Linked DNA regions of Astyanax mexicanus. The protein of the gene in region 2 binds, or shares a complex with, the protein of the main gene of each other region. Links are inferred from orthologs where the notes say so. Each region holds a gene or a part of one and is shown on either strand. Other genes may lie near its edges.

The links. The genes of interacting proteins can lie anywhere in the genome.
Region 1: the proteins of pigs (region 2) and pigu are in contact, whole or in part, in a cryo-EM structure (PDB 8IMX), measured with the Homo sapiens proteins. The link is inferred for Astyanax mexicanus from reciprocal best matches to the Homo sapiens genes PIGS and PIGU. Residues at the interface, in NP_149975.1 of Homo sapiens: Ala4, Gly5, Ala8, Thr9, Glu12, Arg15, Arg18, Ala19, Phe22, Phe23, Val26, Leu30, Leu34, Trp35, Thr38, Thr39, Leu510, Leu511, Phe513, Ile521, Tyr522, Leu525, Phe526; in NP_536724.1 of Homo sapiens: Gln118, Phe282, Glu283, His284, Phe285, Leu287, Phe288, Phe289, Cys291, Val292, Phe293, Ile295, Phe299, Tyr300, Ile302, Pro303, Ile306, Lys307, Lys309, Glu310, Thr417, His418.

Annotation. Positions count from the first base shown.
Region 1 is NC_064412.1:58,073,832-58,080,856, reverse strand, and holds the start of pigu (phosphatidylinositol glycan anchor biosynthesis class U protein), read right to left. Parts: upstream 3,015-7,025; 5' UTR 2,992-3,014; coding exon 2,862-2,991; intron 1,711-2,861; coding exon 1,646-1,710; intron 1,544-1,645; coding exon 1,484-1,543; intron 553-1,483; coding exon 490-552; intron 112-489; coding exon 2-111; intron 1-1. Other genes in the region: uncharacterized protein si:dkey-6e2.2, read left to right, coding at 3,434-3,476, 4,951-5,235, 5,317-5,392, 5,586-5,898. UniProt on the Homo sapiens protein: Component of the glycosylphosphatidylinositol-anchor (GPI-anchor) transamidase (GPI-T) complex that catalyzes the formation of the linkage between a proprotein and a GPI-anchor and participates in GPI anchored protein biosynthesis.
Region 2 is NC_064424.1:13,017,362-13,024,303, reverse strand, and holds the start of pigs (GPI transamidase component PIG-S), read left to right. Parts: upstream 1-3,923; 5' UTR 3,924-3,975; coding exon 3,976-3,994; intron 3,995-4,346; coding exon 4,347-4,486; intron 4,487-5,720; coding exon 5,721-5,832; intron 5,833-5,923; coding exon 5,924-6,013; intron 6,014-6,132; coding exon 6,133-6,224; intron 6,225-6,333; coding exon 6,334-6,571; intron 6,572-6,942. Other genes in the region: aldocb (fructose-bisphosphate aldolase C-B), read left to right, coding at 1-136, 701-793. UniProt on the Homo sapiens protein: Component of the glycosylphosphatidylinositol-anchor (GPI-anchor) transamidase (GPI-T) complex that catalyzes the formation of the linkage between a proprotein and a GPI-anchor and participates in GPI anchored protein biosynthesis.

The DNA.
Region 1 (7,025 bases), on a different chromosome or scaffold from region 2:
CAACGTCGCCACTTTGAGAGGGATGTAGAACATCTCTTTAGGGGAGCGCATGAGCTCCAGACAGTCGGGTGGGTATCTGTTGGCCTCCAGAGCGTATTTCTGTTTCCTAAACTACAATAAAACACAAGCAGGTTAAATTCACCCCTCAGTAAAGACAGATTACCTTCAATTACCTGTTTAATCAGCAGATACACTTCATTAATAGAACAGATCAGTCTAAATCACAGTAACATGCTGAACACTGAGACAAATTTAATTCATAATTCTAGACCACCTAAAGTATATGAACATCTGTATATTTATTATGCTCGTTAGAGGTGTGAGGAGATGAGGCATGATATTGAGGACTGCAGAGAGAGTTTCTGCAGTACAGAGAGATGAACTCCGCTCTGATCTGTGTGAGGATGTACAGTGAGGACTGATATAAACAGTGTAAATGTAAAACTGAACAGTGTCTCACTGATGAAGACGAGTCCTCCTCTTACTCACCACATTCCTGTTGTAGTTCTGAACAGCCAGATACAGCGCCACCGCCGTGATTCCATCTGCTATCTGCAGAGAGAGAGGATTAACACAGAGCTGTGACTCAGACCAGATCACGCCTGATTCAGATACTCTCTCTTCCTCTTCATCATCTGTCTGTTACAGCCAACACTGCTCTCGCGCTACAGCAGGACTCTCTCTCATGGGAACGCGAGTGTGTTACATACACACACAACATAGAAACACACACGCAAGGTCGCGCTGAAACTCGCTTTACATCAGGGACTCCCAATCAGGAAAACATCAACTTTAATTCTGTTTTCTTCTTCTAATTTTACCAAATTTTCACACAGCAGCACAAACCCAACTTTTACATCAACAATAAACAGAATAGTAAATAAAATAACATTGCTGTTCCCGTAAATGAGCTGCTGGAGCTCCTTCACAGCGTCAACCAGCAGCTCAGTTTTACTCTGCTGAGAAGAGTTTGTTGAACACGTCCAGGTAGCTGCACCGTTACAATAGCAATCCACCAAAGACAGAGCTCACCTGATCTACTCTTAAAGAGAATGATGAAGAAGAGACGCTCTGATTGGTTTATTATTTCACGTTACGCCCAAAATTATAATAAACTCACACCCATGATTAATTAAGAGAATTAGTACAGCCTTTTGTGTGTTTCAACTTGAGCAAGGTGTACTTTTCCCGTTGTTACGATAGCAAAGACACACTGACACCACGCCCTACATCAAGCTGCATGGTACACGGTTGGACTATGGATGACTAAAATTGAGCCCATTGTATTCATACCTATACACACAAGCACAGCTAGTATAATATGGAGGATAGAGGAAAAGAGAAGAGTGTGACAGGGATGGGATTTATTTCACTTTCTTGCAGAAGATTTACAATAAATTGAAAATTATACATATTTACTATAAACACAGACAGGGATATAAAGAGAATGAGACGTAATCAATATAAGACTTCAAATACTCACCATAAACACAATCTCTGCATAGTCCACAACAAAATGAAAGAGGTATATGATGAGGGGCGTCTAAAACAAGGGAGAAACACAGACACACACTAATCTCTAATATCTGCAGTAAGCAGTGATTTAATAAATCAGATCACACGTCTCTGAAACTACAGAACTCACTTCATGAAACACGTCTCCTGAGTACGGCGAGACTCCGAGGTCCAGCAGCGCCAGGCCTTCCACCACTGAGGAACACACACACACACACACACACACACTGTTTTAATACTGGAGATCTGCAGAACTCAGTATTCATATTCTTTTACTGTTTAGATCAAACTGATTGACTAGATTTGCTCCTGACCAGCACAGGGTATAATTCCAGTTGTGTGTAAGGGTTTATATTAGATAAGAGTATAATAAAATGCTGTGACATGATAAGAAGAATAAACTAAAATAGAAAATGATCAAAATAATGTGATGCTGTGATTGTATATATATAAAATAAAAATAAGAGAGCACTTTAAAACGATGAGTTTCTTTGATGTTACCAAATTGAAAACCTCTAGAATATAATCAAGAGGAAGATGCACCAGGAGTAAAGCAGCATAAAGTTATCCAAAAGCAGTGTGTAAGACTGGTGGAGGAGAACATGATGCCAAGGTGCATGAAAAAAACTGTGATTAAAAACCATCAGGATTATTCCACCAAATATGAACTTGTTTTCTTTGCATTATTTGAGGTCTGAAAGCTCTGCATCTTTTTTGTTATTTCAGTCATTTCTCATTTTCTGTAAATAAATGCTCTAAATGAGAATATTTTTATTTGTAATTTGGGAGAAATGTTGTCTGTAGTTTATTGAATAAAACAACAATGTTCATTTTACTCAAACATAAACCTATAAATAGCAAAATCAGAGAAACTGATTCAGAAACGGAAGTGCTCTCTTCATTTTTTACAGAGCTTTATGTATGTATAACATTAGATTAGCTAATTTAAAGCTATAGCTATATATATAAACTGTTGTCATTTTATATGTGTTTAAATATGCACTATTCCTATCACTGAATGATAAAACATTGTTTATTAATTGTAATAACACTAGTAGTTAACTGATAGCAGCTAGTTAGCTTAGCCTCGCTCCTGACAGGAGGTGGGGAACCCAGGTCCAGAAAGTAAAAATCCAGCCCCGGGTTTTGTACCCACTGCCAGGTCGCCTCTGCTGCGGGAGCCGCTCAGGCAGTTGGTATAAAACCCTGGGATGGAGTTTTACTTTCTGGACCTGGGTTCTCCACCTCTACTCCTGATCCATTAGAGCTGCATTAGCAACATTAGCTACATCCACAATATCCCCGCACCGCTGCGGCCCCGAGCCCCGCAGCGCCCCGCAGCCCACCTCTCTTCCACGCGCTGAGCGGCGACACGACCTCCACCCGCTCCGAGATCAGCTCCGCCAGGCTGGAGCGGAATAAAACCGCCCGAACCGTCACCGCCAGAACCAGAACAAGCGTTAAGGGAGCGGCCATCTTCACTGAGGAGACGCGCTAGCCGCCCTCACGGCGCGGGGTGCATTGTGGGAGGTGTAGTTTTTAGAGTAGCGGTTTTGCAAAGGCTCCCTGGTTCGGGTGAACCCGTAGGAAACTACAACTCCTAAAAAAACGCTTTTAAAAATCACCCCCCTTACTTCCCGTGACGACGCCGGAGTCGGCTTCTTTATTCGCCAGCTTCTTTAACCGAACTCCCCGTTCCACCTTAAAAATCCCAGCAGTTCCGTTCAGAACGCGCGCAGCAGTTCTAATGTACCCGCAGCGGTTAGAATGGAAAAGCTGCAGAATTTAAGGTGGACTGGAGAGTTCGATTAAGAAGCTGGCGGACAAGAAGCCAACTTCACCCTCGGCTTTTGTCGCGTGGATTCAACCTCCTAAAAAACATTAATCACCGCGATAAAATAATCATTTAGCGATCTTTATGTCTTCACTGAAATTAAAGCTCAACCGAAACCGATTAGGAGGTGAGCGCGCTTTTTTACACCACCAAAAACTGATGTTAGCCTAGTATTGATTTTAGTCTGCTAGGAGTGATTCTTACCGTAAACAGCGCCGCGTTTTATCCCGAGATAATTAAACAGGAGGATCAGCGGCCTAATTCGTATAAGATACAGAGTATTAAATCATTTTATGGCTCAAATTTTGCATGCATTTTTATTTTAATACTGATTTTAGGCTTTATTTCCAGTTTTTAGTGCAGAATGATAAAAACAGAGCTGCTGTTTTCTATTAGGCCACAGGAGCGCCTGTGTGTTTATATATAAAAACAGACTGATAATAAAAGAGCAGAGGCTGCTGGGAGTCTGTCTGTCTGTTCTGCTGCTAAAATTATGTATTTTTAGTTAGAATAGTAAAGCAGCTAAGCTCTGTTTTAGAGCTAGAGTTGTGTTTTTGTGATTTTGTGTTTTTAATCTGATTAAAGAGCTGATCTGTTACAAATATGCAGTTTTTAAATTTAATATAAGGGCCAGGGATGAGATATGTGTTCCATATTTAAAAAAATGTCCTATATTATTTAAAAAGTGAGGATAAACAGGCGAATCTCATGCATATATCGCATAGTTGTTTATGGTAATATATAATGTTTCTGATTTAATGAGAATATGGGTAAAATGAGATTTTTAGTTAAGCAGGAGGCTTATTCTGCTTAGATATTAAGTTTTAAATCCTTTTAAAATCCTTTTATGGCTCAAATGTTGCATGATGTAGTGCACTTTTTGTATTGGTGTTTCCATGTTTTTTTAGTAAATGCATGTTTTTTCTTTTTTTTAGTTTACTACATAATTTTTTCACACAAACCTTACAATGTATCACAATTTTTGTTGAATGCACCTTTTTTACATTGACTCCCATTGAAAGTGATGAAGGTTTCATTTCTGTCCTGTAAAATTGCTGTATTGTAGATACAAGATAAAACCCACTGCTGAGCAAAAAGAACATTGTTCTGTTACATCTGGTGTAAAAGTAACCTTTCAGAAAAAGAGCATCATACTACAGTAAAACATGGGGGTGGTAGTGTGATGATCTGGAGCTGCTTTGCTGTGTCAGGACCTGGGAGACTTGCTGTGATAAATGGAACCTGAATAAGAATCTCCGTCCATCTGTTCTTGACCTCAAGCTGAAGTGAACTTGGGTTCTGCAGCAGGACAATGACCCAAAACTCTCCAGCAGGTTCAGCTCTGATTGGCTGAGGCAAAACCGAGTGAAGACTTTGGAGTGGCCGAGTTAAAGTCCTGTAATTACTTTCATGTGAATGGGTGTGGCTGATCAGCTGTAGATTGAGTAGGCAGGGTTAAAGTGCAGTTATTGATTAGTGTATTTATGTATTGATTAGTGCATTTATGTATTGATCAGTGTTTTATTTATGTATTGATTAGTGTATTTATGTATTGATTAGTGTATTTATGTATTGATCAGTGTTTTTTCCCGGTCCTGTAGTTGATCTGTACGAAGCTCCGATGAGGCCGCGGAAGCCGAACTGGTCGACGGAGCAGAAGCTGCTGCTGGTGCAGCTGGTGAAGGCCCGGCGGATGGACCTGCTGACCGGCCGGCACTCCTGCCGCGAGATCGCCACCAACCGGCGGTGGGCGTGGGACGAGATCGCCGAGGAGATCTCCACCGCCCACCCGGACGTCCCGCGCACCGGGAAAGAGTGCGAGAGGCACTGGTTCGTGGAGCTCGCTAAAGCTAAAGAGGCTATGCTAACCCATCCGTCACCCACAGGTGAGCTAAGCCCATCCCCCTCCACCTGATTATCTGATTATCCTGTTTATTAATCAGTTTATTATTGATTATTGACTGCAGATCACGTCAGCCCCGTTACCAAGGTCGTGCTGGATATTCTCAAAATACAGAGAAAGGAGGCGGAGCTTAAAGACAGGTAAACTTTCATTATCATATTTACACGCATTTATTTCTTTATCTAAAGAGATTTATTTTTACTTTTTTACGTTTTGTTTCCATTTTAAAACTTTTTTACTTTAAAATATTTTATTTCGTTTTATCATTTCTGTTTAATGAATTTAGTCTGTCTGTCTGTCTGTCTGTCTGTCTGTCTGTCTGTGTGTTTTTAGATTAGAGGAGGAGAGCAGCGTGATCTTCGAGGAGGATCAGGTGGAGGTGAAGTACATCCCCTCTCCGGTTCCTCCAATCATGAACATCGAGCTTCCTGTCAATCATATAAACCACGATATCGTCAGACACGAGATTCCTCCTGTGAGTCCTCCTCGCTCCCCCTCCCCCTCCCCCTCCGCCTCCGCCTCCGGCGAGAAGACGGATCTGGAGATGGCGGTTCTGCGGCGTCAGGAACGGGTTCTCCAGCTACAGGAGGAATATTACTCCCTCAAAATCAAACACCTGAAAGCCCGGATGCTGATGGATCTTTGATGTGAGAGAAGATCCGCGCGGAAACTGACTCTTATTGCCTTAATAAACACTAGAACTCCGGTTTAGAACCTTTAGAACCTTCAGGACTGAAACTGCTGAACCAAAAGACGCCGAGCAGAACCTCCGCTTCCTCCTGAACCTTCAGCCCGAGGACCCGTGGTGAACTCCAGTGTTCAGAGTGTGATATGACACCTTTTCACCAGTAGATGGCAAGGTGGAACTTTATACTCTCAGTAGTGACTCTGTTTGAAGATTAGAGGAGAAATCTGATCAGAGGTGGTTTCAGGTGATCAGACCAGATTTCTCTGATTAAATAGAAATAAAAGTAGCATTTCTGAAGTTAAAACTAGCTCCAGATGTAGATTTATCTCATTAAAACGTTCAGATTCAAAGCTTTAGCTGGGAGGAACGATACGCTGGTGAGTGAAAACATCTTAAATTTAGTGTAAATATCAATATCAATTTCTTTTTATAATTATTTAACTTATTTCTACTAGTTTTAAACGTTTGTATTCAGTGAAATTTATCTTATTCTGTTTTTTTCAGCATTTGTAGCAGCATTGTGTCTTAAACAAGTCAAGAGACTTTTATAGAATAGAATAAGATAATTAATGTAGATATGAGTAGAAATAGGTCATTTAATAACTAGAAATAAGTAAAAGTATCTTCATGTTATTTTATGATATATATGTTGAACATATTGACTGGATTTAATATGATTTCTCACCAAATGAACTCACAGCCCAGTTTTCAGTTCAGCCAATCAGCCATAATATTATAACCACCTGCTGAGTGTTGTTTAGGTTGTTTAAGATCTGTAAGTGATATAAAGTCCAAAAGGATCAAACGCCTCCATCCGGTCGGTACTGAGCAGTGCATTCTGGGAAAACTCCACAGGACCTGTCTGATGTTCTGGAGATGTTCTGACCTCGTCTGCTTTCCATTACATGTTTGTTTCTTGTTAAATTTACGGACTGTCCACTTCCTGCCTGATGCTGCAGATCCAGTATCATATCAGATCATCAGGACTTTTATTATGACAGTATTGTTCTGATTATATTTGATCGACTGTTTAAACAGGTTGTTTCAGCCCTGCTGATTCTTCAGTGCATGTTCACAGTGTTTAA
Region 2 (6,942 bases):
CAACTGCCCTCTGTCCAGGCCCTGGGCCCTCACCTTCTCCTATGGCCGCGCCCTGCAGGCTTCTGCTCTCAATGCTTGGCGTGGAGCCAGGGACAACGAGAAGGCCGCTACTGAGGAGTTTATCAAGCGTGCTGAGGTCAGTTATTCAAATATCACATGATATTCAAAACCCATTACTGCACAGAGGCATATTGATATTAGAGGTATAAATCTTACAGCAGTTTCATTAACCAAATCATTACTGTCAAGCAAAGATTTAATCTCTCATAACTAAAAGCCTGTGTCAATTTATTAATTTTTTAATAAAAATGTCCAAGTACATTTTGGCACAACTAAATTAACAAAAATTTGGTTTTATTTATTTATGTAGAGCCCAGTGCAGCATAATCTCAAATCTGTCTGTGTTCTCTTTAGATTATTTTGTTATAATTGAGAATGATTTTGAGAATGCAGCAAGAGACTGGATGTGCATATGTTTTTTTTTTTTTGTTTTTTTTTTCTCTGTAACCCTAAATCAATCAAGCTAATCAATATCTAATTAACATAATTACTTGGAAGCTGATGAAGGGAGACCGTGCCAATGAAATGTATAATTACTTGTAGCCTTGTGCTCTTCTGTTGTGATTTTCTCCATCTTACTAACAATAATATTTGTAACAAAAATATATATATATATATTTTTTTTTTCTCTCTTCCACAGGCTAATGGCCTGGCTTCTCGGGGCAAGTATGTGTCCAGTGGAACCGCTGGAGCTGCAGGACAGTCCCTGTATGTGGCCAACCACGCCTATTAAAGCATTCCCATCACCCGCCTACTCCAGCTGCCGCCGACCAATAGTATCTTTTGCCGCTGCTACCCTCCATGTCACCAACCAGTCACAGGCCTGCGCTGTTGTCTGTACTTTTTAGGATCGTCATTGCAATGTTCTACTACTAATGTTCTGTCTATTTAAAATGTGTCGAAAATGGAAAGGAGAAGATTCAAAGAAGAGATTAAGGGGGGCTTAAAAGGCTCACAGATGTTATGGGAGATGCTGAAAAATCTAATGTTATACAAACACTGGTACCAAAAGTGGTCATCGTGCTGTATTTAATAAGTAAATGGTATTGCCACTGCGGCTAGATATTAACAACTAGTTCAAGTTATATTTTTGGAAAACATTCTTTACTTTTTTTGTACAAGTGTTCAGTTCTGACACCCTTTCCCCAGCTTGTGTAGTTTTTACCACTGAGTCAGTTAAGCTCCCACATTCCCATAAAGTGCAGCTACAGCCTCTCCAGTTTGATGTGTTGTGTGGTCTCATCCATTCATGTTATGAGACATAATGCGTCTGCATTAGCACTGATCAGAATACAGTGAAAATGCTAACCAAGAACAAAACAATCAGTCTTATTCTACAATGAGGGGGTGAATCAGTGGAGAGAGTGGACCAATGGAGAGAGTGGCGGGTAGGTCAGTACACTTACGCAACGCACAGCCTCACAATGATCAACTAACACCGGACACTGAGCAGCATTTATTTAGTGTTCTATTCTCATCTATTGTAGTGATGAGTCTTTTGGGTTGTGTGCGTCTGTTTGCTTTAAATACAGAATACTAACTTAAATGGGTTGAAAGATATGGAAAATTATATGATTAAATGTGTTCTATTATTCTGTGTATTCCGCATGAGTGCTATGCTCTCTCTCCCCCCAGTGTGGTGACACGTTGGTACACTGAAGTACTATAAAGATTACCATGTAACGTAAATAACGTAATGTAAAGCATAATTCCATGGCTTAACTTTGCCGCTTGGACCAAACTTCTGCAGTTTTGTTTGGCAGAGGGAGAAAGAGCATAGTCACTGCTGGTTTGGATAAACTGTGATGTCATTGTGTTGTTGTCCTCTCAAGCACTTGGTGTGTAAGATTAGAAACAAAAACTATAAAATAAAATAATTTAAAATTCAAGACATGTCTGTTCATTTTTGAAATATACACTTTATCTGCTGTTGGAGTTTGAGAAAACACAGAGCATGTGCTTACATTATCTTATCAGGCCCAGCTTCCTACCACAGTGGATATACAAAAAGTGGATAATCCTTTAGTTTATGCTGTCTAAACTGTCTTTAACGTTATTTAAGCACAGCAGCTTCCATGTACAATGTGAAAACGTCTTTTTGTTAAATGGCTTCAATTATAAGAAAAATTCTACACTTTAATTAAAAGCCAAGACTTATTTTCTTCACCTCTTGAGTTGGCACGGTAACCGGCATGTCATGAAGTAGTGCGCACACTAACAAGCACATTCTAAACCACATCCTCTGGCACATATTAAGCAGCCATCACCACAACTCTAAACCAGCCAGCACGCTGTCTGACACATGCTACAAAACCGTTGGCACTTAATTTGACACAATCTACAGCAGCCTGCACCTCCGAAACCAGCCTGGCACACCATCCAGCACGTGGTAAATGGCTGTCGCATACTCTGGCACGTCCTAAACTAGCAGACACTGGTGCACCATCAAAACACAATCTAGGAGCATCTAGAGAGCACCATTCAACACATTTTAAGCATCCGACACAAACCTTCCAACGGCACATTTTAAGCAGTAGACACAATAACTGGTATATGGAGAGTTTTTTTTAAGCACAGTGTGCAGAAAAATATAAAGCTGAAGTACAGTAAAGAGTAAATCCTGTAAAAATGACACAATGCCAAAACTAAATCCTACTCCCACCAATAACCGAAAATCCTACTCTGGTGGTAAAACCTCCCATGTTGAGTCCAGAGTAAAATACATTTTAGGAGCCCAAGACTTGCTGTTAGAATAAAGAAGTCATTCAGACTTCTGAGATCAAAGGGGGAGTATAATTGAAATTAAACTGCTAAATATCAGGTATTCCTATGTGAACTTCTTTGTTCTAATATCGATCATTACGGTTTAAAGGCGTTCAGTTCTAAATGTTGCTTCGTTATATACAGCTAAACTAGCACTGCAAGATAGCGATGGTCATTTGAAGTGAAGCGTCGAAGCCTGCAGGTTCGAGGTTTGTATCGTTATTATAAAAATCACGTGACTGATTAAAAAACAAGGCCTCGGATTCTGTGGGACACGTGATCGTTTCATTTTGAGTGTCGCTACAGCATAAAGAGGGCTCGAGCCTTGTAGCACCTCGTGTTTTTTTTAGTTGACATAAGATCCATTTATTTACTGGAGCAAACAAAACATTCGTAAATATTTACATTTTCTTTAGCTAGGCTAGCACTGAGCTGGTTTGTGCACTTCGGGCACCTCAGTGCCATGTGAAAATGTATTCTCTAATGCTGAGTAGATTTTATTGAAGAAAAATTATCACCTCCACCCCAACACAGTTATAAAGCTTCTTTTTTTATAAGAATTAATGTTATATTTGTCCTTTTGCACATACTACTCTGATGCAGTTTATTGTGCTTAACTCCCCCAGTTCCATAAGCACTATTGTGTTCAGTGTCAGTGTACAACAACACTCAGCTATTTCCATTAAAAATACATTATTATATTAATTGAGACAGAGTGGCAAAATAATTTATTTTATACACAGATATTTAAGGATACTCTTGCTCAGGATTCATTTAATCTGTCATATAACTCTTTGAACAGCAGGTGTCACTGGTGAGAACGATTCATTGAGGCAAAACACCGGCTGCTTTAAAATGTGCTAGGTTGTGGTGGCTACAGGGTTGCCAGGTCCAAAAAAAAAATCCAGCTCAAACTCAGTCTAAAACCTTCCCTTTAAAAGCGTAAAATAACCACAACTCTGGCTGGCTGGTATATGATGTGTAGCCTGTGCTTGTTTAATGCACTGTTGAAAATCTATCGGCTACAATAGTTGTTGTTGTTTTTTACGTTATTTGTCCTTCCCGGGTACCCGTAGACTCATAACTCCGCCTCTCCTCTGCTCTGATTGGCCAGAGCGCTTTGTCAGGCCCCGGTAGTAGTTTCCTGTAGTCATGGCATCGATCGAGGCAGGCGAGTCATTTATTAATATTACTGCATTTTTTTCTGCATTAGAGGCTTTATTGAGGTTTATAACGCGGGGTATTGAGTTTGTACTGGGTGTGTTTAGTGTATGAGAATGTTTGTGTGTGCGTGTCTTTAGTAAACTGAAGCTGTAATAATTAGCTAAACACTAGTTACAGAAGCTCCCGTAGGGCTGGGTCTGCTGCTGCTGCTGCTGCTGAAGCTGAAGGGAAATCAGTGTGGGGGTTCTGGTAGCTTTGTTTATATAGTGTATGTATTATTACGCTGTGTTTCTGCTGTTTCCCGTTATTATGCGCACCTCATGTGTTCACAATTGCGCATTTTATACTCTAAAATACAGAAAAGCAGCGAGGCAAATATGCTGCCCTGGCCATCGCAGCTGTGGTCATCTTGCTGGGGATCCCTCTGTGGTGGAAGACCACCGAGACCTATCGAGCCTGGCTGCCCATCTCACAGATCAGCGAGCTCGACTCCTTACAGGTACATTCTGAGTCATTATACTATTAGATACACCTGCAATATGGGCTCAGAGTATCCATAAAACAAAATAGCCAGCTCATCATGCTACTGGACGAGCTCATTGATTTTATTTTAATTTAATTGTTTCGCTGGTATATAAGCCTTGATCAACCAGACCAAGCTAGCTAGATAATCAATATAACCAAATCTCCGTTCTGACACCCCCCCCCCTCCATTAACACAGTACTGCAACTTAGTACTGAAATCAACACAGAAATTGATTTTTTTTTCAAGAACTGACATGCACTCACACCCCATACCTGCACTACTGCTTCCACTTGCACTGTCATACCCACTTTAGTTCCCCTTACAACTGCGACATTTAAAGAACTGTATGCACTCATTCACCTTACCAGCCTTAAGCTTTTACACCTCATTTTTAATGTTCATGCATGCCCCCCCCCCCGCCAACACTATTGTACTTGTAACTTTGGGATGGAGAGTAATGTAATTTCAATCCTCTGTATGCCCTGTACATGCTATCAAGCTAGCTGGTTAGATAACCAATATAGTTACCCAAACTTGACCAAGCTAGTTGGCCAGCAAGACTGATCATGACCAGAATTAAAATCAACACAATATGCTGATTAGCATCTGGTTACCAGATAGCCTCCCAGCATGTATGGGTAGGTTTTTGTCTGGATGACCAGCTTTTCAACCACATTGACCATCAAGGACCAGCTTAGACCATCTCAGACCATCTCAAACCAGCTACCAAGCAAAAAATGGTCTTTAGCTTGACTTTCTTTGAGCTTATATAACCTCTTTAGAAAAGCATCCACAAGCCATCTGTCACCAAATATTGATTAGAGCCCTTAGACATTGGGCAGTAATACAGTGAATTTATTGTATATGAAGGATTTAAACCTTTTTATTGCTCACAAAAAAAAACTTTTCAGAAGAGTAGAAGATGTTGCTGTAGCAAAGGAAAAAGATGTTAAACTCCCTAATAATACTTGTGGTTTTTAGAAAAAATGTTGGAAAATTAGACATTTTGACACATAGATTACATTATGTCTATTTCCTACGAACCTCCATACTGGTTACTGATTATTTAGATTAAACTTTGTTTAAACCAGTTATATTAAGATTAAATTCCATGGACTCTTATAATTAAGCTATTTTTGTATTATTCTGTCAATGTCTTAAAATGGTTTATTGCAATACTTTCTGCAAAATCTTTCTGTGTATATAGCTCCAGTTAAGTGTTGAGATAGAGGTGGTCTTCTCTCGAGGAACGCTGAGCCCTGAACTGCAGTCAAAGGTTCCGCTCAGTCAGACCAGAGAGCAGGAGAATCAAGTAGATGGTAAGATGATTACGAAGTTTCTACATTTCTACAAGAAATGTCAGCAAAAATGAGCATGTTATGATCACCCCTCTTATCTTCTCTACTTCAGGAAAGACCATGCTGCGGTACAGATATGAAACCAAGTACCGCACCGCTACTATCATGGAAGAAGATGCATTGAACCAACCCAGTGCTGAAGGTTGAAAAATATTACATTGAATTGTATACACTGTTTTATCTTGTCATGTGATTAGTAATGATTAAGCATGATGATAGAAATACCTGCCTTCATGCTTTGCTTGAATTTCCTTTCTACAGAGGCAGATCTGTCCCTGCATATGCTTAGTGAGAGTGCCTGTGGGTCTGTGGTGGTGTATATCATCCCTGAAAGCTCCACCCTGCTGCCAGCGGTAAGACATGCACATACACTATTCCAATTGTTAAGGTGGGATTTAAGAAATGAGGGAACCTTTGTTCTTTAAATTATTGTGTAACAGGTTTCTCTCTGCTGTCTCTCAGGATATGAAGGTGTATGTTGGGAAGCGGCGCACTGCTCTGCTGCGTGCTGCTCCATTTGAGGGGGCTGCTGGTCTAAAGGAGGTGCTGTCTTCTCTGGAGCCTCAGGTCAAGCAAGTGGCCGATACCATGTCCTTCAGCCACCCGGACATTCTGGCTGCCCTGAGTGATCGCATCCGCATCGGCCAAGTCAGCAAGGAGAGACTGGCTGACAGCATGAGGGCCATAAAGTCCAGTCCAGGTGTGATATCTGTCCATATACAGCTCTGGAATCAGTTCTGAATCAGTTTCTCTGATTCAGCTATTTATAGGTATATATTTGAGTAAAATGAACATTGTGGTTTTATTTTATAAACTACGGACAACATTTCTCCCAAATTCCAAATAAAAATATTGTCATTTAGAGCATTTATTTGCAGAAAATGAGAATCGGCTGAAATAATCTCATATTTCAAACCTGAAATAATGCAAAGAAAACAAGCTCATATTCATAAAGTTTTAAGATTTCAGAAATCAACATTTGGTGTAATAACTCTGTTTTTTAATCACAGTTTTCATGCATCTTGGCATGTTCTCCTCCACCAGTCTTACACACTGCTTTTGTATAACTTT